Linked DNA regions of Rattus norvegicus. The protein of the gene in region 3 purifies or fractionates together with the protein of the main gene of each other region. This does not show direct contact. Links are inferred from orthologs where the notes say so. Each region holds a gene or a part of one and is shown on either strand. Other genes may lie near its edges.

The links.
Region 1: the proteins of Dpf2 (region 3) and Arid1a purify together in Homo sapiens (affinity purification with mass spectrometry; 6 studies listed by BioGRID and IntAct, counting the BioPlex papers as one, with this or other methods). This does not show direct contact. The link is inferred for Rattus norvegicus from reciprocal best matches to the Homo sapiens genes DPF2 and ARID1A.
Region 2: the proteins of Dpf2 (region 3) and Smarcd3 purify together in Homo sapiens (affinity purification with mass spectrometry; 3 studies listed by BioGRID and IntAct, counting the BioPlex papers as one, with this or other methods). This does not show direct contact. The link is inferred for Rattus norvegicus from reciprocal best matches to the Homo sapiens genes DPF2 and SMARCD3.
Region 4: the proteins of Dpf2 (region 3) and Bcl7a purify together in Homo sapiens (affinity purification with mass spectrometry; 3 studies listed by BioGRID and IntAct, counting the BioPlex papers as one, with this or other methods). This does not show direct contact. The link is inferred for Rattus norvegicus from reciprocal best matches to the Homo sapiens genes DPF2 and BCL7A.
Region 5: the proteins of Dpf2 (region 3) and Smarcb1 purify together in Homo sapiens (affinity purification with mass spectrometry; 11 studies listed by BioGRID and IntAct, counting the BioPlex papers as one, with this or other methods). This does not show direct contact. The link is inferred for Rattus norvegicus from reciprocal best matches to the Homo sapiens genes DPF2 and SMARCB1.

The regions. Positions count from the first base shown.
Region 1 is NC_086023.1:151,191,631-151,195,886, forward strand, and holds the end of Arid1a (AT-rich interactive domain-containing protein 1A), read right to left. Parts: intron 3,433-4,256; coding exon 1,705-3,432; 3' UTR 384-1,704; downstream 1-383. UniProt on the Homo sapiens protein: Involved in transcriptional activation and repression of select genes by chromatin remodeling (alteration of DNA-nucleosome topology).
Region 2 is NC_086022.1:11,469,776-11,474,031, reverse strand, and holds the end of Smarcd3 (SWI/SNF-related matrix-associated actin-dependent regulator of chromatin subfamily D member 3), read right to left. Parts: coding exon 4,165-4,256; intron 4,019-4,164; coding exon 3,917-4,018; intron 3,766-3,916; coding exon 3,604-3,765; intron 3,116-3,603; exon of another isoform or gene 2,686-3,115; coding exon 2,588-2,685; exon of another isoform or gene 2,455-2,587; coding exon 2,319-2,454; exon of another isoform or gene 2,018-2,318; coding exon 1,895-2,017; exon of another isoform or gene 1,774-1,894; coding exon 1,672-1,773; exon of another isoform or gene 1,433-1,671; coding exon 1,379-1,432; 3' UTR 1,251-1,378; downstream 1-1,250. Other genes in the region: Chpf2 (chondroitin sulfate glucuronyltransferase precursor), read left to right, coding at 1-1,000. UniProt on the Homo sapiens protein: Involved in transcriptional activation and repression of select genes by chromatin remodeling (alteration of DNA-nucleosome topology).
Region 3 is NC_086019.1:212,617,498-212,622,509, forward strand, and holds part of Dpf2 (zinc finger protein ubi-d4), read right to left. Parts: intron 4,996-5,012; coding exon 4,888-4,995; intron 4,081-4,887; coding exon 3,917-4,080; intron 2,975-3,916; coding exon 2,882-2,974; intron 2,750-2,881; coding exon 2,671-2,749; intron 2,195-2,670; coding exon of another isoform or gene 2,153-2,194; intron 1,191-2,152; coding exon 1,053-1,190; intron 924-1,052; coding exon 795-923; intron 650-794; coding exon 537-649; intron 1-536. UniProt on the Homo sapiens protein: Plays an active role in transcriptional regulation by binding modified histones H3 and H4. Is a negative regulator of myeloid differentiation of hematopoietic progenitor cells. Might also have a role in the development and maturation of lymphoid cells.
Region 4 is NC_086030.1:38,876,515-38,880,770, forward strand, and holds part of Bcl7a (B-cell CLL/lymphoma 7 protein family member A), read right to left. Parts: intron 1,185-4,256; coding exon 1,063-1,184; intron 1-1,062.
Region 5 is NC_086038.1:12,743,948-12,748,203, reverse strand, and holds part of Smarcb1 (SWI/SNF-related matrix-associated actin-dependent regulator of chromatin subfamily B member 1), read right to left. Parts: intron 3,119-4,256; coding exon 3,007-3,118; coding exon of another isoform or gene 2,980-3,006; intron 1,417-2,979; coding exon 1,287-1,416; intron 1-1,286.

The DNA of each region.
Region 1 (4,256 bases), on a different chromosome or scaffold from region 3:
TGGGGCCCACAGAGGTCAGATCATGCTACATCTGTGGGTCCTGGACCACCCCTTGACCTAAGGTTGTAAGCTACAAAGCGAGTGCTGAGAATTGAGCCTATGTAAAAGCAAGTGTTCTTAATTACTAAGCCATCTCTTAAATCCTGGTTAAAGATTTATTAGTTTTGTGTGTGTGTGTGTGTGTGTGTGTGTGTGTGTGTGCGCGCGCGCGCTCGCGCGCTCGCACGCATCATTAGAGGGGTCAGATCCCATGGATTTGGACAGGAGGCTGTCATCCACCAAACATGGGTTTTCCTAAAACTGCCAAGCTAGCTATCTTTCCAGCCACAGGTAAAGCTTTTTAAAATAATTTGAAAAAAAAAAAAAAAAAAAAAAGCCTCACAAAAGTCTTACCAAGATTTAATGTACATTTATTCTTAACACGTGGAACATATAGTATAAAGATTTCATACTGAATAAATGATATTCATTAAGCCAAAAAAGGAAAAAAAGGAGGAATTTACATCAAGTTTTTAGCTACATTGTTGAAATACAAATATGCAGATTTTATCACTGAAAAATCTCAATTGTGTTTCTTCATCAGCAACTTCAACTGAACCTAGAACCTTTTCACACCTCGATTAGAAAGGAAACAAAACAAAACAAAAACCCAGAAAAAAAATAAACTGTAAGTTGATTGGCTGCCGAGACAGCAAGGACTTTTTACAGAGACCTGTAGAGCATCGCACCAAGAGGGCGACGTCTGGCAAGAGATTAAATAGCTGTGTCTCGCTTTGTGCAGGTCACCAACTTGTTAACTCGCCATACTATAAAGGGGTAGCTGGGAAGGGAACCAAACTGTGGAGATTCAAGGGTATGTGCAATGTACAACATCATATATATACACACGTGGCAGCGCGGCCGCTGCGGCTAAGGTTAAAACCAGGTCTAAGAGGTGATCTCAGGGTTATTCATACAATCAAGGAGGAGAGAAAGAGGTCAGGGTGTTGTAGGTTCACACATGATACTTTGGGGGAAAAGCCTTTTTTTTTCTCCTCAACATTTAACTAAAAACATTTTTAAAAACTACAGCTTGCTGCTGACCCAGCGTCTTCTCTCGTTTCCGTGTGAGACATTATTATTACAGTATGTTTACAGTATCAGGTGTCCAGTACAGTACATGGAAGGACCTACACTCTACTGCACGGGCCTCGCCAGTGAACAGGGCTGCTCACGACTGCCACCTTCGCGGCTCCTTGCGAGATCGTGAATGGACAGCAACAAAACCACACAGCTCAGCAGTCACCTTTGTCCTTCAGGGTTTTTTTGTATTTTTTTTTCCTTTTTTTTTTTTAACCATTAAAAACAGTTATGAAATGTGGCATCCCGTTGATGCAAGGACCGGGAAAGCCATTTTTTTTTTCCCCAAACTCACTGTAAACAACAGTAACTTTGGTTAAAATAAAAAAGTCTTCTATGTAGGCAGAGCTTTGTCTTTCAACAGGGTGGGTCCTGAGGGAAGCAGGTGAGGGTGAGGAACAGAAAGGTGTGAGGGAGTGAGGGTGGGGAGGAAGAGAAACAGGAGAGGCTTTCCCAAGGGAGAAGCTGGACAGCACAGGGTAAACTGGATTCTGAGGTGGTTTTGCATAAATAAAGGGCAACAGTCAGTTTCTAAGTTCTCCACACACTCACACACACACGGGGAGGGGAGGTGCCCCACGGCTGTCATGACTGGCCAATCAAAAACAGTACATCGCAAATGACTTGTGAAACCAGTGAGTTCATCAGTGGTGACACGGAGATGTCCAACAGCCGTGACTCGTACAGAGTGAACTCTGAGTGGTTCTCGTCCACCTTGGCCAGGGCGAGTAGCGCTCGGGCAGCCCGCCGCATCATGTCCACACTAGTTGGTTCAAAGGGTGGGCTCTGCATATGGAGGAGGCTGGCCTGGCTCTGCTGGAACTGGGTGGCAGCAAGGCTGTCCTCCAGAAAACCCAGGAGGTTGCCGATGCTGCCCTTCTGCACCGCAATGGCCCGGGCTGCCAGGCTGTCCCCCTGTGCCAGATTTGCCAGCAGTACCACGGCCATCTCCCGGCACACTGGGTTCTTTCGGTCACTGAGGAAGCGCACCATGGTACTATACAACTTCTCCAGGCGGCTAAAAGGGGGCGTGGCCAGTATCAGGTCCACATTGTTGTCCTGGATGCTGAGTTTGCTGAGGGTTTCCAAGACCAATCTCTGAGGAGAGAGGACGGCATTGGGGCCTAGGGTTGAGAAGGGGTCCTGGGCTTCAGCTGAAGGGCAAACTGCCCAGTGTAGGAGTCCATCCAGGACAGGCAGGCAGATGCTCTCAGGGTATGGGGATAGGTCCAATTGCCCCGAGATGTTGGCAAGGGTGACCAGAGTGTTTTCCCGGAGCATCTCCAAGCAGTCCCACCACCATTCCACTTTGTCACAGCTCACCCCTTGGTCCTGTTCCTCCTCCTTCTCATAAGTCAGTGGCGCCTGCTTCCGTTCTGGGTGCTTATGGTGCAGGAGGATCAGCTTGCCCAGGATAAGCAGCAGCCCTGGGTGTTTGGACATCTCAAAGTCGTTGCCTGGCACAAATGACAGGCTCCGGATGGCATTAGAGACACAGACACAGCGCTTAGCAAGGGAATCCTGCCAGTCCAGAAGGGTACACAGTGGGGTCTCATCCTTACTATGGGGTTCGTCCTCTAAAATCTTGATGTTCCGGTGGCTCTGTGCTGGGCTAATGCCAAATGGAAACTTGCTGCTTTCCTTGTTGGCCTCTGTACTCTTTGTTCCCTCGTCAGTCAATGTGCTAGACCGGGTGGACAGCATGTCATCCATAGTGGCTGTGATCCTTTTTTCTGGAAGGCCATCAGGCGGGGGACCCTCCTGCTCCGTTGTCCCTGGTGTACCCTCTACTGTTGTGACGTGTTTCCGAGGGGGCACTGGGGAGGGCACACAAGGCCGGGAAGGCAGCAGCTCTATCTTGCTCTCAAAGTGGGTCTGGATGTGCTCAGTGGTATCCCCACCACCAATCCGCCAGTGCAGCAGGCCACTGTCAAACTCCTGCACGCGCCCAAGCTTATCTGAGCAGTCCACCACAAACGGGTCATTCTTCTGCACGATCTTTACCGGGAGCTTGTCAAACTTACTGACTAGCTTCTCCTCACTCTTCTCTGAAGGTGGCTTGTCCTTGCCCAAAAAGGCCATTTCCTCATCATTTTCAACCCCTTCCTCCTCTTCCTCCTCCAGCTTGGGATCTACGTGTTCCTCTTCCTCTTCTTCCTCTGTGGGGGCCGGACTAGACACCTTGGTCAATCTCCCAGGGTCTAGCAGTGTTCTTTGTCCTGGGTCCCCTACCTCATACTCCTTTAAAATGCCAAAGATTTCAATCAGGCATCGACGGAAATATTCAACAAGGAGCTCTAGCAACCCTGGGAGCTGAAAGAGAGAAAAGGAAATAAAGAAAGGGAAGAATTCTTGACATGAGTCCCCAAGACCTTATCCAATTCCTTCCTTCCTTCCCTCCCAGTTTGACATAGTTTTCTCACGCAGGAGGCAATGAAGTTCCTATTCTAAAGGCATCTCCATCAATGAGTCTTAAAAAAAAAAAAAAAAAAAAGACATCTCCAGCACACTGCTTTCACTTCTCTCGAACCATTTCCTTCCCAAAGGAACGAAGTTTTCTTTGACCCAAACAACAGTTACATAAGTCTGCCTCCAGCGAGCGAGAGATGTGAGCTACATAGTCTATACCTCACCGATCAGTAACAACCAATGCTTCTAACACTTCTTCCTGAATGTACCCCCTTTCCCAGCATGACCTAGGAAAGGGAATGCACTGTCAACAGATGTTCATCTATTCTCCACTAGTTTCTAGTCACATTTCCTTTTGCCTGAATTCCATCCATCCACCTGATTATTAGAATTGTAAGGATCTTGTTTTTACTGCTGCCTTTCACAGAAATGACCTATATGAAATGGTGATAAAATCCTAAGCATTATAAAGTTGGTCCCGGCATATGGAAATGAACAATTTACCCCTTACTCTCTCGTGGACAAGACGTTATGGAACAGTAATAGTCCTGCTCTGAGCAGCTATGGTGAATCACAAGTGTAATCTGAGGGTTTTGGAGACCAAGGCAGGTCTGTTTGCCTTGACTTCAAGGCCAGTTCGAGATAATGAGTCCCAGACTAGCCTGAACTATAATGTGGCGCCCTTAATCAAAAAGCAGAAACTAAAGAAAGGTAAGCTTTATAATCAG
Region 2 (4,256 bases), on a different chromosome or scaffold from region 3:
TGCGAGGGGCATGGAGTACACCCTGGACTTGCTGCTGGAAGCCGTGACTCAACGAGGGCATCGACGCTCCCTGGCCCGCAGAGTGAGCCTGCTGAGGCCACTGAGCAAAGTGGAAATCCTGCCTATGCCCTATGTCACTGAGGCTACCCGGGTGCAGCTGGTGTTGCCGATCCTGGTGGCCGAAGCTCCGGCTGCCCTGGCTTTTCTTGAAGCCTTTGCTGCCAGTGTTCTGGAGCCTCGAGAACATGCATTGCTCACCCTGTTGTTGGTCTATGGGCCCCGGGAAGGCCGCGGGGGCCCTGACCCATTTCTTGGAGTGAAGGCTGCAGCAGCTGAGTTAGAACGACGGTACCCCGGGACGAGGCTGGCCTGGCTTGCTGTTCGAGCGGAGGCCCCTTCCCAGGTGCGACTCATGGATGTCATCTCCAAGAAACACCCCGTGGACACGCTTTTCTTCCTTACCACTGTGTGGACAAGACCTGGGTCGGAAGTCCTCAACCGCTGCCGTATGAATGCAATCTCGGGCTGGCAGGCCTTCTTTCCGGTCCACTTTCAGGAGTTCAACCCCGTTCTGTCACCACAGAGATCTCCCCCAGGTGTCCCTGGGGCTGGCCCTGACCCCCCATCCCCTGGTGTGGACCCTTCTCGGGGAGCTCCAGTCGGGGGCAGATTTGACCGGCAGGCATCAGCAGAGGGCTGCTTCTACAACGCTGACTACCTGGCAGCCCGGGCCCGGCTGGCTGGTGAACTGGCAGGCCAGGAAGAGGAGGAAGCCCTGGAGGGGCTGGAGGTGATGGATGTTTTCCTCCGGTTCTCAGGGCTCCACCTCTTTCGAGCCGTAGAGCCAGGGCTGGTACAGAAGTTCTCCCTGAGGGACTGCAGCCCCCGGCTCAGTGAGGAACTGTACCACCGTTGTCGCCTCAGCAACTTGGAGGGGCTGGGTGCCCGTACCCAGCTAGCTATGGCTCTGTTTGAGCAGGAGCAGGCCAACAGCACTTAGCTTCTCCACCCCTGGGTCTGCCATAGCCCCAGGAAGGGCAAGGCAAGGCAATGGACAGATGGAGGGCTTGCCGCTGTATTTTTTTAAAAATAAGAAATGTTATTAAAAGTATCTTCTGCCAAACTGTTTTTAGGTCTAGGGAGAGGGCTAAGAAGAATCTGTAGGAGGGTCATGGAGAGTTTGTCTGCCAGGTTCCACTGCCTTCCCCTCTCTTCTTCCCTCCCATCCCAATCCACAATGACCACAAGGCTGCTGTCTGATGAGTGACCTTTAATCCAGCCCTCCCCAACCCCAGCACAGCACGGGAGAGGGAGTCCAGAGCCCAGGGTCCATGCTGGGCAGCGAGGCTGGTCCACAGTGATGCGTGTTCACAGGCTCCTAGGTGTTGCGCACAACTAGTGACTGCTCCAGCTCCTGCCTGCGCTGCTGGATCTTTAGAGGAAGCGTGAGCAGGGGCAGGGTTACAATGACCCTGGTGAGTGACCAGGGGCACCCCCTCCTGGCACCCCTTCCCTGGAAGAGTCTGGGAGCCAGGAGACTACTGCATGGGGGTGTAGGGTGGTGGACAGGCGTTGGGCATAGGCAGCAGCAAAGACTGTTGCCAGGTGAGAGGCAAGGCCTCTCTTAGGACTGAAGGAGAAGGAAGCCTCATGTTCCAGGGCCTCCATTACCTTACAGTAGAAGTAGCGGCTGACAGCTTCCTGGGACCAGGGCTGGTGGTAGAACTCAGCCCGGCGCTCTTCCTCGGGGTTACCGGCCACATCTGTCATCACCTGGGAGGGAGCACGGGGCCTGCGGTGAGTTCCAAGTGCCTCACCTGCCCGAGTTGCATGCTCCTCTTCCCCTCCCTGTGTGCTTGTCTTCACATCAGTGACCCCTGAGCCCCGTCTTCACCTTGAGATCACGGCTCTGGGAGCGGAGCAGGTCTTGGACGTAGCCTTTGGGGTCTCTGGAGAAACTTAGCATGAAGTCCCTCTGGATCTTGAGCTGATTTATGGACTCAATGGTCTCATGGATCTACAGGTAGAAAGACAATGATCTCCCCTGGCCCTCCCCTGATGTGGGGGAGGAATGCAAGAGGAAGGAGGAGGCAGGGGGGACTAGCTTCTCTTGTGAAGGGCAGTTTCCCAGAGCCCTTGCTCTCTCTGAGTTCAGTGAGGGGAGCGGGGTGGGCAGAGCTGAACTTGGAGTGAAGTCAGCTTCTCGATAGCAGGGAGGGGCTGTGTGTGCCTCGTGTCCCAGGGCCATGCTGTGGTCTGAGTGCTTTGTCCTCTCTCTCGGTTTAACATCCCACTCTATCTCTGGGTTCAGGCCGCACCTTACTGTCCAGAGCACTGATCTCCTGCTGGTTGGCGGTGGACAGGAGAAAGCTGCTCATCTGCCCCTTCAGTGGTTCCTCCACCTCCACATCAATGTCATAGCACGCGGTCTTCTTCTGGTCTGATGGGTCCACGCTGCCAGAGAAGCCCAGCCTTTGATGTCCATGGTATACCCCCACGGAAGCCCAGGGCTGGGGAGGGGACACAGGGAGGGGAGCAGGGAGGGGAGCAGAGAGCTCCCTCTGTGGGGAAGGCTGGGCCACCTCACCTGATGACATGGTTGATCACAATGGGGTCAGGAGGAAGCAGCAGGCCTGTGAGACGCTGGGGAATCTCAGAAAACTTCAGGCGGGGACAGTCAAAAATCTGAAGCAGGAGAGTTGAGAGGGAGATCATTCGTGTGTGTGTGTGTGTGTGTGTGTGTGTGTGTGTGTGTGTGTGTGTAAAGACAGTAGCTAATAATAGTCCTTCCATTCTGGAAAGACCACAAGAAGCTGAGGGCAAGTCAGAATTCTGGGCGCTGATGGCTGTGGGCTGGGCTGGAGGTAGAGAAGCAGGATAATTAGGGGGCCAGTGTGGGGTCCTAAGTCAGCCTGCTTGAGCGTTTGTCCCTTCTGCCACATCCTGTGAGAAGTTACCTAGCACCTTGGGTCTTAGTGCCTTCACTTCCAGAATAGGGATATTACCAACCCCATCTCATGGGTGGTTATGAGAACCGGGTGAATCTGCAGAGCAGGAAGTGTCTGAAGTGGTACATGGTAAATGCTCAATAAACACCAGCTACTCTTTCTCCTCAGACTCCTCTACTGTGCTTATTTTAAAACATATTAATAGCAATGCTCTACTCTGCTAGACCTGTCGGGTCAGCTTTCAGCAATGTCGTTTTTCCTAGCTGCCAAACACATGTGATGGCACACCTCCCACCACCCCTCATTTCAGAAGCAGACCAAGAGGCAGAAGGGATAGCAAAGTAAGTGACCCCAAGTCTAGACCCAAGACTGGCGGCACCTCAGAGATCCCAGCTCCAAGTACCAAGAAGGTTACATTGCAGGATGCTGTGCCCTCCCCTCCCCTAGTAGGGCCCCACATTTGCTTCCCTTGGGGTGCAGCTGAATAGATCATCCAGGAAGAGCCTGGACAAGACCCTGTTCTTGGCTCCAAGGCCATGGCCCTAACCATTCCTGTTATTCAGGAACTCAGCAAAAGGAGATAGCTACCTTAGGGAGGTGCTTCTGCTAGGATACCATCCCTGATCCCCAGATCCTGAGGCTAAGGACATGTTACCTGCTGGAAATACTTGTCTCCATTGATGTATTCCTTGTCATGGGAGTCCTGTAGCCTGTTGGTCTTCACGTACTGCCACAGTGCCTGGACAATGGCTGAGCGGCTCTGCGTATGCAACCCCAGCAGCCGGGCCAAGCGGGGGTCCAGTTTGAACTGGGGAGGCTGGGAAAAGGTTACCAGGAAAATGAGATTGAGGGGAGAAATAGAGAATGGGGCGTGGAGGTTAGGGTCCTTGGCAGCATGCCCCTAGAGAAAGTGAGTAGGAAGGAGAGTAGGGTCTGTGTGTGGCATGCAGGCACGGAGTAAAACCAACCTGATAGTCCAGCATCAGGAGCAGGGTACAGCGCACACTCAAGTCCCCTGGTCTCTTCACTTGGAACCCATCTGTCTCCTGGGTTGTGGGTGTCCGGTGCCACTGTCCAGGGGGAAGAGCTAGGTCACCCACAGACTCATCTGGGTTGGTAGAGCCTAGGGCTTTAGGATGGTCCTCAATCCAAATCTGCAGCTGCTCCAGGGCTGATGGGAAGGTTGTGATTCACGGGCAGCGGCAATCTGTCTTACCTCAACAAGGTGGTTGTCTGGGCCATAAAGGTCTTTGTCCAACTCAATGACCAAACTCTTGAAGAAGGAAGAAAACTTCCTCTTCTGCTTAC
Region 3 (5,012 bases):
CAGACAACATCCTCAAGGTCTAAGCATGGGGCAGATCTGTAGGTCCTTAATGTGCAGCAGATCCAGGACTCCTCACTGAGCTCAAAGGTCGGCCCAAGATCCTACAAACTAGGATCTGCCTCCCCGTCACAGGAAGGGTCTAGTGGGTAACAATGGCCTCACTACAGCCAGCTTGCCCACCATAAGGCCTCTGCACTAGCCATACTTTCTGGGACTGGATCCTTGTAATGTCCAAACTCCAATACCAACCTCACTTCCTCCAGAAGCAAACACAACTACAAACCTCTCTCAGCATCCAGTTACCTCTTGGCACATCACTAGTTTAATTTTCCTCAAGGTGTATCATACAAAACTCTGTTCCCCCAAGTATCGAAATTCTATCAAAGTATAAACTTCTCTGTTCTTTGTTTACCGACCCAAGAGCTAAGAACACTGTCTCGCCCAAGAAACAAGATTTTTTTTTTTAAACAAGTATAAAGTTCCCTGGGGAGAGTTAGGGAGGAACGGGTGCGCTCTGACAGAAAGCGGGCACGCACGTCGTTCTCTGAAGTGCCGCAGAGGTTGCAGCACTTGCACTCGATGCACTGCCAGCGGTAGGTCTTCACGGCTGCCATCATCACAGGGGTGAACTGCAGGCAGGACGGATGCCCTGTGGAGGAAGGGAGTCAGACAGTGGGCTGGAGACCAGAGCGTGAGTGGGTAAGGGAGGCTGCCTGACTATAAAAGCACTCAAGGAAGCAGGCCAGGAGGGTTGTGGGTACCGAGTACACCCTGCTTTTTGAGGATGGAGGTACCTGAGCGGCCACAGTCAGAACAGGACACCAGCTCCTCAGGCTGCCCTGTCTTCTTGTTGATTTTTGAGTCTCCCAGGCAGAAGTCACAGTAGTTGTTAGGCAGGGCCAACCCATCAGGTCCTTTCTTGGCTACAGAAAAAGAAAAAGACTCTGATGATGGTCAAGGGAGCTCTGGGTTACCCTACATTCTCTAGACGGAGGATTTTTATAAACAAGCTGGTTCCTCTCCTGATTGCCTGCCCCGACAGCTCAGCTTACATTTCTGCTCCTCAGACCTCTGGGACACAGGAGTGGGTGGTTGGGAGTCTTCTTTGTCCTCTCCTTCCTCTTCAGCCAGGTGGGAATGGGCATAGTGGTAACTGAGGCCAGGTCGGTTCTTGTAACGTTTTCCACAAACTGGGTGGGAAAAAGATTGCAGAGAAATATTAGGACACAAAGGTGCTACTTTCCCACTGTGACAAGTTATGAAGCTCCAAATGAGGCCCAAGGGAAACCTCTGCCCCAGTGTCCCTACTCTGGCACAAGCTTTAGTGACAGTCCCTTCCCTTTAGCCAAGAGCATCAAGCCCTGGGCCTCTTTAATTTCTGGGACTCTCTTCCCTCTCTAAAACACAGACCCATAGCTACCAACATTTTTCCATGCTGGCTTCTAGAAGGACTTAGCCTCTGCTGCATCAACTTGCCCAAGAAATAGTAACGTCTGGGAGCTCCAGGTCGGGAATGTTCTACAGTGTAGCCTTATGGCAAAAAGGGGGATGTGATGAGGAGAGACCAGGCTCTTTTTCTGCTATGTAGATGTGTCAGGCTCATGCCACCCTGTGCATGCCAATCTCAGCTGAACAGACAAAGGGCTGAGGGTGGGTCTCCTGGTGAGCACCTACTAACTGCCAGCCAGGATAATTTCCCGCAAAGAAACTGAAATATATTCCCACACTAGTGCCCTGCCCAGCCCCTGCCAACCAACAAGGAAAGATTACATGGCATTTTATCTTGAGCAATGACACCAAGAGGAGCAAGGAGGCCAGCAGGAAGGAATGGGAGGATGGGAGGAGGTGGTGGTGTTGATGGTGGAAATGTGAGCTGACTGCCTGTTGTCTGGTTTGGGGAACATCGGATGAATCTATCCATAATGGGTTTCTGTTAACACTAGGCCAAGTGGCCATAGGAGGCAGTCTGTGATGCAATGGTAAAGACAGCTGCTAGGACTGAGAATGGAGCACAACCCGGGTACCACAGCACTACCCTCATACCGTTGCAGATTCCAAAGCTAGTATCACAGGAAATGAGAAAGGTAGGAGGAACAAGGGAAGAGGGGAAAGGGATAGGAAAACCACAAGTCTGAAAAGTTGAGAGAGCTACCTCTCTGGGGCGCTTTCGAGGTATGCTTTTGTTTGAAACTATCTGAAAGACAGAAAGAAAAGTCGTGAGAAGAAGGCCTTGATACATTTGAGACAGGGCAGCAGCAGCAGGAAAACAGAGCAAGTGAGAGAGAACCCCAGCAGTGGCACTTCAGGCTGGAGGCACGGAAGTAGGGTAAGCCAAAGCAAAGGGAGAGAGGACAGACACTAACCCTCAGGGCTGGCCGGCCCCTGAGCCCTGCCCTGATGGGTCAGCAGATCTAGATGCTGCCCACTATGAGGCCAACACTGCCTGCTTTGAGTTCCCTCATTCTCCCACCCCAGGACCCACAGAAATCTCTCCCCAGAGCATGCAGGTCCCACCCACTATGAAGCGAAGGCCAGGTTGGCAGGCAGGACAAGAACCCAGGCTTGTTTTACCACTCAGTGCAAGAACATGACCTCCCCCCCCCCCCCCCCATATCCAGAGCAGGAGCTGGGTCTGAGGCAAGAACTACCCACCCCTAAGGTGGCACTCACTGTCACAGGCATAGGGCTTATCCCGGTCCTCCAGGATGGAAGCGTCCAGCTTCTTCCGGGCACTGCTCACACCCTTACTCTGCCAAGAAAACCAAAAAGATGATGCCCTCACTAACACTAAGCGGTCTTGGCCAGAAGAGCAAGGCAGAAAGCAAGAAATGTCATAAGATTGGCCTCCACAGACCAGCCTACTTCATTATTCCCTCCTCACCTTGGATTTCCCCTTTCCCCGACGCTTTGGAGTATCTTCTTCATAGTCCTCGTCATCAAGGTCGTCTAGGAAGTCATCGGGTTCAAGGATCCGCTGAGTGGAGCAGGAGATTGGAATGAGCAGAAGTCAAGCACATCCCAAAGCACCCTCACAAGATAGAATTAGCCCCCTGGAACTACCCAGAAGCCTCTCTGAGGCTTAATCCACAATCATTCTTCACCCTGCAATCCCATCACTGCTTCCCCAAATGCTTTCTTTTCCCTGTGCCTCTTCAAGTTGCTCCCCTAGCCTAGAATGTCTGTCCTCCATCTCTCAGGAGCCAAACACTGTTTCCATAAAGCTCTCCTGGCACCCCAGGCAGCCTCGTCCTGTTCTGCCTGCTCTGCTTCCAAAATGCATGTCCTACTTTAAATAAGGTTTTCTGCTTACTTGACCTTGGGAAGTTTTAACCGCTTTGATTCTGCCTCCCTGTCAATGAAATGGGAACCACAGGACCTACCTCATGAGGCTGCACAAGAGGAAGCATATGGGGAATACTTAGCAGCGTACCTGGCTCATCTGTAGCTCTTCTCATCTTTAAGCTTAGCATTAACTTCCCAGTTGACAGGTGGGAACCAAGTGTGCTTCACCTATGTCACAGCAGGTATCTAAGTCTCTAATAGTCAGTCTTGCCTTGTGTGAGAGAGAATGAGTGTGTGAGCCTGTGCTGGGAAGGAGTGTGGAAGGCTAGATGGAGCCAGGCTGGGGCTGGCAGAGCCCAGGACTGCAGGGCAGCCTCCGCCTCCATTTCGGCTATTTTTGTTTTTTGTGTTAGGGCTTACACATCAACAGGCATGTATTCTACCATGATCTGCTTCAGTTCTACTAATTGGACCAAAAATTGGCTCAGAGGTTAAGAGCACGGATTGCTCTTCCAGAGGTCCTGAGTTCAATTCCCAGCAGCACTTGGTGGCACACGATTAGTGGTCCAATTAGTAGACCCAAAAGAGGCTGATCCTTATTAAAGTCCTTTAGCCATAGATAGGAACGACATACCTTCCGTGCTCGACTGTTGGTAACAGGAAACTCGCCCAGGCTGTCATCATCAACTCGGGGATCTGGGGCACCCCGTTTCTCCAGGGGATCAGTACGCAGCAGAGCCTCTAAACTGCTGCCATCCTGGGAGATAAGGCCCTCTTTCTTCAGAGTCTGGTCCGTGTCTGCAACAAGTCAAGATGAAGCTAACTCAGAAGGGCTGAAGCTGAATCTACACCACGAGGGGCCAAGTCAAACCCAGCCACTTCTGTTCTCCAGGAACCGAGATGTATCTGTTCAGCCGGCACTGGAATAAGCTGCATTACCTGTTTTCACTAACAGTGGGCTCCCTGAAGGACAGAAGCAAAGTATGTGCAAGCTCAACAGAGCCTGGGGAGAGCCGGCAATCAGCAAGCCTCCCCTCATACAGACCATGGCCTTCCTGAGAAGGGAGCCCCTTACTTGGTTTATTTACTCTGGATTATTTTAGTCATGACATATAAGACATAATCATATATGTCTATATGGCGCATGAACACATGTGGCTACACATGTTGGGAGGACACTGGGGGCTCTGCCTTATTGCCTTGGAGTCTCTCACTGAATTAGATTGGTAGCTAGAAGCGCCAGCTCTGTACTCAGAGTTTTGGGATTACAGGAACATGTTGGCCTTGGCCACACTGAGCTTTGTATAAATGCTAGACTAGAATTTAGGTCCTTGTGTTCACACAAGCACTGGGACTTCTCTCCAACCCATATCATTTTGAGGGAATTTCATGGTTTTTGAGGCTCTCATGTAGTCCAGGCTGGTCTCAGACTCTCTATTAGTAGAGAATGACCCTGAATTTCTAATCCTCCTGCCCCAACCTCCTCAATGGTATTGTTATATAGGAATATACAACCATGTTCAGTTTATGCAAAGCAGGATATTAAACCCAGGGCCCAGTGTATGCTGGGTGACACTCTAGCAACTGAGCTACCCCAGCCTCTACCTGGCTTAATAGACGGGAAAGAAAGCCTGGGATCCTCAGGTGGGTGGGCTCGACGCTTTTTTCGCCAGCGTCGGGCAGGGTAGGAGTACAACTGTCCAGAGGCCAATCCTGTGGAAGGAAGGAAG
Region 4 (4,256 bases), on a different chromosome or scaffold from region 3:
GCTCCAGGCACCTGGCTGGGGGCAGAAACTCAGCATTTGTTGAATGGACACACGGACAGCGCTCTGAAGACAGTGGTCATTGGCATAAGATAAAGCCCGTGCCTGGATGGCACCCTACAGTTCCCTTTCTATCCACACCCACCTCCCCTCCATAAGCAAGATCTACCTGCTGTACCTGTTAAGAGTCTGTCCATCTGTCTGAGCTGTCATGACATGGCCCCTCTACAGGTGTCATCCAGCATCCAACCTGAACCTTCTCCTTAAACTGTAAAGCACTGATTGAAACAAGGCTTCTAATATTTGCCCCTCTTACCAATGCTGGGGAGGCCAGGTGACCTGCTCCCCCCAATACATCCTGTTCTATCTGAGCCTTCTCTCCAAGTCTAGTGCCCTTCTCACACCTCTAAGTTAGCACCTCTTCATTATGGTTAGGGTAGAGACGGCTAAAGACCTGGTCCAGCAGGGACACAGGGCCAGACAGACAGATAAGGATGCTCTCTCATTAAGTGTCCCAGGCTGGCTTTGAACTTGCGATCCTACAACCTCAACTCTCTAAGTAGATGAGATTATAGGTGTGCCGGAGCTGGATTTGAACCTGGGCTAGATTCCATTGTGTCTGCCTCCTGCCCCTGGACCTTGGGTTTGCACTGAACAATCCAAGAACGATGTTGATACTTGGTTACAACACAGAAGGGGTCTGAGCAGGGGCTCCATCGCATGCAAAATTCCAAAGAGTAATCCGGCCTTTAGGTTTCTGAGGTTATGTCTTCCTTAACCTTAGGATGTGGGCTCACTGGGATGAGATGTTCTGATGGACCCAAACGCCACACCATCACCAAGCTGAGATTAGAAAGACAAGACTCCACATCCTCTACGCCAGAGGACTCTTGACGCAGGACCACACATCCCTCCCATCACCGTGGTCCCAGGTGGTGTAGGCTTAAACTCTGAGCTGCTGCTCAATGGACGAACAGCGTTCTAACAGTCCAACAGGAAGCAGCATGACTCTCAACGCACCGTGGAGAACCCCAGCCCCACCCACTGAGGCGGGACGGCAGGTACCTGAGAGATTGCCGATGTTTCTGCCGCCAGCCCTGACTCTGCAGATGGCTGCCGTTCCGCTTTCTCTGAGCTGTTCGTTGAGTTTTCCATCGAAGACTGGGAGTTTTGCTCGTCAGAAGCATCTGAGCGAGAAGCAAGACAACAGAAGCTGTTTTCAGACACATGAGAAGCTGCAGCAGATGGGCCAGGTACTAAAAATACCCAGATCTGGGGAGTTTTGTGGCCAGGGGCTTCCAGAGCTCGATTGGACCAAAGCTTGGGAAGTTTCGATGTATCAACTAGCCAGACAGTTATAAGGAGCCAGGCCACAAGTGGGTTCTGTGGGTCTCCGACCCTCTGCCTGGAGAAGGAAGAGGGAGGGCTACTAAGCGCATAATGCTGCCAGTGTCTGGCGCCCTCTGCTGGGCACCAAGCACTACAGCAATCATGGCTGCCACCTGGCTCCGGCGGGGGAAGTCATGGCCGCAGAGACTTCATTGGGCTTTTGAAGAGAACCAGCATTCTCCTAACAGCAGAGGGAGCGGAAAACAAGCGTTCCCAAGAGTTTCTTATTTTTATTTTATGTGGACGGGTGTAGCGCTTGCATGTATGTCTGGGCACCACATGTGTGCCTGTTGCCTGCGTCTGATCTCCTGGAAACGGAGTTACACAGATGGTTCTGAGTCACCGAGCGCTTGCTGGGAACGAAACTTGGGTCCTCTGCAAGGGCAGCCAACGCTCTTAACAGTTGAGAAATCTCTCCAGTCTTTAATTCTTTAAAAAACAACAACAACAACAACTCCCATTTGTTTATTTAGTATATGTGCTTGCAACAGTTCGTATATGGAGGTGAGAGGACCACACGATGGAGTCAGTTCTCTCCTACCATGTGAGTTCTGGTGACTGAACTCAAGTTGGCAGGCACCTTTACCTGATGAGCCATCTCCCCCAGCCCCCTGCCTTTTTCTTTTAAGACGGGTCTCAAATATCCGAGGCCAGCCTCAGACTCTTTTAGAAGCTGAGGATAACCTTGAACTTTGGGGCCTATGGACTCTGCCTCCTGAGTGCTGGGATCCACAGGTGCACACTGCCAAAGCCAGTTTATTTGATGGTGAGGTTCAAACCCAGGGCTTCCGGCATGCCAGCCCTGGGTGAGTTCTCTATCAAATGAACTATATCCCGGGCCCAACTTTTCTCTTAACAATAAGGATGAGTCTAAGTGACTCGAGCAATGGCTAACCACAGAGGAAAACAAAAGCATAGCTACACTCACGTTAACTGATACCTCACACCTCTAAGATGCCAGCATTTTTTTTTTTTTGGTTCTTTTTCGGAGCTGGGGACCGAACCCAGGGCCTTGCGCTTCCTAGGAAAGCGCTCTACCACTGAGCTAAATCCCCAGCCCCTAAGATGCCAGCATTTTAAAGGACTCTGTTCTACCTTTCTAGATTGCTCCCTCATGTGCCTACGGACTTCCTATCTCTCTAAATGGTGACGTCACAGACATCTGCCTATCTTTACAAATCCTCTACACACGAGAGTTTACAACCTGGCTGAACAGCATCATGTGAAGCAATTGTTTATCTGACGATACTAATCGCTTGGGTTACTTGTATGGCCTCAGTTTTCCCTCTTGCCCTTCCTCAAGAACTTACATATGACTGGGTTTTTTTTCTCCCCTCTGTGTAGCCCTAACTAGCCTGGAACTTGCTCTATAGATCAGGCTGTCCTTGAACTCAGAGATCCACCTGTCTCTGCCTCCAGAGTGTTGGGATTAAAGGTAATTGCCACCCCCACCTGTCAAGACCCAGCAATTTTACTTTCTGGTCCAGAGACCAGAATCTTGAATACAAATGCCACACTGTTCACAATGGTGAATTCAGCAGTGGGAACAGCCAGATAGTATTATAATAGATATTACCCAGTCATAAAAAGGAACAAAGGAGTGTCAGGGAGATGGCTCAGGGGTGACAGTACAGCCATGAAAGCCTAAAAACCAGATTTGTTCCCTAGGGGAAAAAACCCATGTGAGCCACAAAAGCCAAAAACCCCAAATTTGTTCCCTAGAACCCGTGTGAAAATCAGGACGGGGTAGCACACGACTGTAATCCCAGCACTCGTGAGATGGGAGGTGAAGACAGGAGACTGGCTAGAAACTTAGGGGCCAGCCACCCTGGAGGATACAGCACAGCAGCGGAAACAGGGCAGAACCTGTCTTGACAAGGTTCTTGAAGCCAAGACACATGATGTTCTTTATGTGAAATGCCTACAACAGGTCAGCGCTCCAGCACGCACACGCGTAAGCACGCACGCACGCACACACGCATGCAGCGGACTGGTCATTATAAGGAAATGGTGAAGGAAGGCAGAGAGGGACTGTACAGTGTGGGCAGTATTTTTTATGGACTGAGGAAAATGTTCTGGAACTACACAGAAATGACAGAATATCCTAGATACCAGTCAAGAGCACTGGCTGCTCTTGCAGAGGACCTGGGTTTGGTTCCCAGGGGCCACAGGGTGGCTCAAAATCATCCGAAATGTCACTTCCAGGGGATCTAACACCTTCTCCTGGCCTTTGAGGCATACACATGGCGCACATATGTGGCTAAGGCAAACACTTATACACATAGCATTTTTTAAGAAGAGAAATGTTAGGGGTTGGGGATTTAGCTCAGTGGTAGAGCGCTTGCCTAGGAAGCGCAAGGCCCTGGGTTCGGTCCCCAGCTCCGAAAAAAAGAACAAAAAAAAAAAAAAAAAAAAAAAGAAGAGAAATGTTAGAGGGCCAGGTACGGCGGCACGCTTTCAATTCTAGCACTCAGGAGGCAGAAGCAGGAGGATCTCAGAGAGTTTCAGGCCAGTAGGGTTACATAGTAATATAGTAATTCCCTTCCTTAAAGAAAATGGAGGGGCGGGGGTGGGGTGGGACAAAAAAAAAAAAGTTGGACATGGAAGCACTTGGGACATAGACATCAGAAGTTCAAGACCAGCCTTTGCTGCTGCTACATGATACTCTGCTTGCAAAGCAGAAAAGAAGGAAGGGGGTGGGCGTGGGGGCCCATGTAACTTTGTATTCTATTTCATAGTGCATTTGTTTGCTTTAACTAACAGTTCAACTAAAAAGTCTGCTTCATTGGTGTCTGCCTCTGCGGGCAGTTTCAGTTTGTTTCCCACACGCACTGGGCACGCACGGGAGGGTTTACCGCTCTCGGGCAGTC
Region 5 (4,256 bases), on a different chromosome or scaffold from region 3:
GTTAGTCCACGCAGGCCTTTAGACCCACACCCTCGTGCATTCACTTTAGAGGTCGGTCTGCGATTAGAGGTGGGGGTCACAGTGACTGCAATGCAGCTCAATGGGAGAGTGTACACACAATTAGCAATGGGGCCCCGAGCTCCATCCTCAGCCTCACCCAGGAGAATAAGATCACGTAGATGACAATCATTCCTGCCATGTTTGTTTCCCTCCCGTATCACTAGATATGCACTGCACTCTAGTTTCTTGTACACTGTGGTCTGGGGTGCAGCTCAGAGATGGAACACAAACTCACGGGGTCCTGGGTTCAGTCACTAGCATCGCTCCAGCTCACCAAACCTACGGGCTTCTCAGTTCACGTCTGAGTCGAGGTGTGGAGACACAGATACAACACAGTACATTTACAGTGATTTGCCATCCATAACAAAAGTTCTGTTCTAGGCTGGAAAGATGGCTAACGGGGTAAATGCACCTGCTTTCCAAGTATGGTGATCGGAGTTTGAGGTCAGCCTGTTTTACAGAGTGAGTTCCAGGATAGTCAGAGCTACACACAGAGACCCTGTCTCGAAAACAAAACCAAAGTTTGGGTGGACCTGAGGATACAGGTCAGTCAGCAGAGCGCTCGCCGAGCAGGTACCAAGTCCTGGGCATAAGCAGGCATGGCGGCATGCACCTGTAATGCAAGCATTCGGGAGGTGGAGGCAGGAGGATTGGAAGTTTAACACCATGCTTAACTACATGGCCAGTTTAAGGCCAGCCTGGGCTACATGAGATGCTTCTCAAAAAAGTTCTTTTAAAGTTCCACATATACACATATCCATACATACATACACATTCATACACTATACACTACATACATACATACATACACATTCATATACTATACACTACATACATACACATTCATACACTATACACTACATACATACATACATACATACACATTCATACACTATACACTATATACATACATACCTACATACATACATTTAAATCTATTGTTTCTTTTGGGAATTTATCTAAGTCACCATTGGTTTTTTTTGATAAATGAATCCCAATTTTGGAATATTACATTTCAGAACCCAAGTCTTGGCCCGTTTCTTCAGAATTCCAAAGATACAGAAGAAACTTAGAAGCCCAGGTCAGGCAATTATGAACTCAGCGAGGAAAGGGTTGAAGGGCAGTTCAGCTCAGCTCAGTTCAGCTCACTTTAGCCTGCTCTTGAGGGTGGGAACGCCCGCCTGCCCGCGCATGTCCCCGGAGCACACTAGGATTAGAAGACGTACCTGAGGTAGGTTGGGGGCTCTGTGCTGATGGACACAGCCTTGTACTTCTCGTCATTGCCGTCCAGAATCTCTTCCACCTCTGAGGCTTTCAGTAGCGTCACGCTGGTGGCCAGGGTGGTGTATCCATGGTCTGTAAGCAGAGAAGCCCCAGTGCGGTCACACTGCTGCAGTGTGATGGCTGCCAACCATCGATACAGCACATGAGGTCCTCACATGCAGGAGGCGGGAAGCGAGGTGTCAAACTCTACTGCTGAGTGCCAGCCTCTTCCAAAAGGGCGAGCAGCCTGAGGCTTGGCCTAGACATTAGAGAGGAGGAAGCCTCGGCAGGATGGATTTGAGGAATTCACCTCCTAAGAGCATTGGCTCGGAGGCAGAGATGTCCGGGGCAGCTGCAGCTCAGGGGCTGCCAGGAAGCTGCCGGACAACACCCCAGTGGGAAGAGGTCTGACACTGCCACAATCTAAACACAAAGCAAGGACGAGACAGATGAAAGATGACGACTTTTCTTTTAAAACAAGAGCCCAGAGAGTTGGAAAGAAGTGTTCGCCTCAAGCAGGAGTTACCATGCCTGAGCCAGTGCAGATGTGCTGTCTGGAAACCAAGACAGACTTCATCCAACGTGAGTCCAGCTCTTCTAGGGGCCTTTGTCAAGAGCTGCCAGTTATCTGCAGGACCTGCTCAGCTTCACAGGAGGAATCTCTCAACCACAGGGAGGGAAGGAAGGAAGGAGCACAGCAGAAAGACCAGTGCGACTTCATAGGAACTCAAGGAAGGGCAGGCAGAGCTAGGCAGGCACCATGCTAGTGACCGTCCTCCACTTGTGGCCCAAGGGATACAAACGAAACTGTTTTAGGCAACAGTGGGTCTGTTTTAGTAGTGAACAAAAGCAGCTCTGGCTCCTGCAGTAAAAGAACCCCAATTTACCACAACAGACAAAACTACATCAGCACCTACAGACGAGACAGACGACAGAGTGCTGGGGAGCACGCATGCTTGCATGCACGCACACATGCACCCAGGCCCAGGGCAGCTCTCTACAGGGTGCCTCTGCTGAGTGGAGAGCAGTTTTGCCACCTGCCAGATGGCATGCTGCAGCCACACCCAAGCCCATAATCTAGAGGCGCCAAGACTACGAAGAGCATGTGTCATGCTGAAGAGCTGCCACAGCCCAGAGCTTGCCCTAGGTTTGCTGGCATCAGATGGCTCACCTGGCAAGCCCCAGGCACAGGGCGGGCCACGGAATGGGTACATGCACGTGAGCTCAGCACGCCGGTTGTCAACATGAAGTAGTACAGACAGATGTGCTGTGGGAGGGAAGCGGTGACAGCCCCAGAGGAGAGAGGGCTGGGGCCACCGTCTACGGCCGCAAGGATGACTACAGCGACACACTCAGCAAATGGTAGCAAATCTCAGCATTCCTAAAACGTTTTGAGACCAACATGTCTTCACAGCACCTGCTACTGCCCTGGCCCAGCCCCTCACAGACCCGCTGGCCCAGCCAGGAACACACAACAGGGGAGTATGAGCCACTCTCTCCTGAGGCCCGTGTGCACTGGCAGGGTGGCCCGCCCCGGGATGCTCCCTACCGAACTGAGGTCAGGCTGCAATGAAGACACTGGAGTGAAAACGTTTTATCTCCGTGACATAAGCGAGTGGTTTTGAAACAGGTTTACAAACCCTCGTGAAGACGCACCCTTAGTGTTAGGTTTTGTTTTTTTACCATGTGACGATGCCACTATTTTCTTCCTTTCTTCCACAGTGGCTAGTCGCCGCCAGAGTGAGGGGTATCTCTTGTACAGAGAACCTCGGAACATACGCAGGTAGTTTCCCACCTATGGGTAAAGCAAGAAGGCTCATTATGAGGGTCGGGCTACCTACCACCATGCCGAGACAATGCCTCCAGACGCCGGGCTTTCAGGAGTCAGCAAACACATTCTGCTGACATCAAGGGTTCAACAGCAGTGCACATCTGGCTGGCATCTGTGTCTCCTGATCCCAGAGCTTAGTAAGAAGCTTATGATTTTGACCTGACTAGAGATGTTGGCACTTTTCTGAAATCTAAGACTCCTGTGACCTTCTTTCATCTTAAGAAGCGACTTTGATATTTTTACAAGGCAATAAACACCAAAAAGTTTTTAATTTTAGACAGATGTGAGATAATTTGTCCTGTTGCCTATGTTGCTTTGTTTAGTAATAAAACTCAAAACAGAGATGCCAAAGAATTTTCTAGAGTCTAAAAAAAGTACTGTATTAGTAATCCCTAGCCTAGCCTATAAATCACTACTTCCCCAGTAACAGCCTCAGTCTGTTTGTAGCAATACAGTAAGCACGGCCCCTGATTAGACGGAGGCCTATGACTGTTTTTAAGATGCTCTACGGTCTCACTGACTTCAGAAATGCTATCTTCAGAGTCACACTGTGGGGACAACCAATAGACGGGTGTGAGGTGTTCACTCTGGCAGTGAGTCTAGGCCTCTCTGTTCACCCATCGAGTGCTTAACGACCCTGACTTTTCCCCTAAGAGATTCTCACTATGCAGCCCTGGCTGGCCTGGAACTCACTATGTAGACAAGGCTGGCCTTGAACTCAGGATGGGCTGGCCTGCCTCTGCCCACTGAGTCCTGGGATTAAAGGTGTGCACGGCCACACCAGGCCCTCAAGTCTGGATTCTGCTTCAGAAAGGAACAGTTCTATTATTCTTTTCATCGTATCTACCTAGCATAGTGTACATTTATGAAGTGAAGGTAGTTTCTGCACTTTTCTTCCAGAAGAGATTTATGTAACCCACAGCTAGAGTGCTGAGACCAAGAGTCTATACGCAGAACAGCAAAGACTCCTGGCTGCTGTTTGGTTTGTGGGTCACTATCACCCAAAGGTAAAAGGATGGTTTCCATTCACTTTTAGAAAAAAGTTAGCGATATTGTCGATCTTTTTCCCTAGAGTCTCACTGCATAGCCCTGGCTGGCCTGG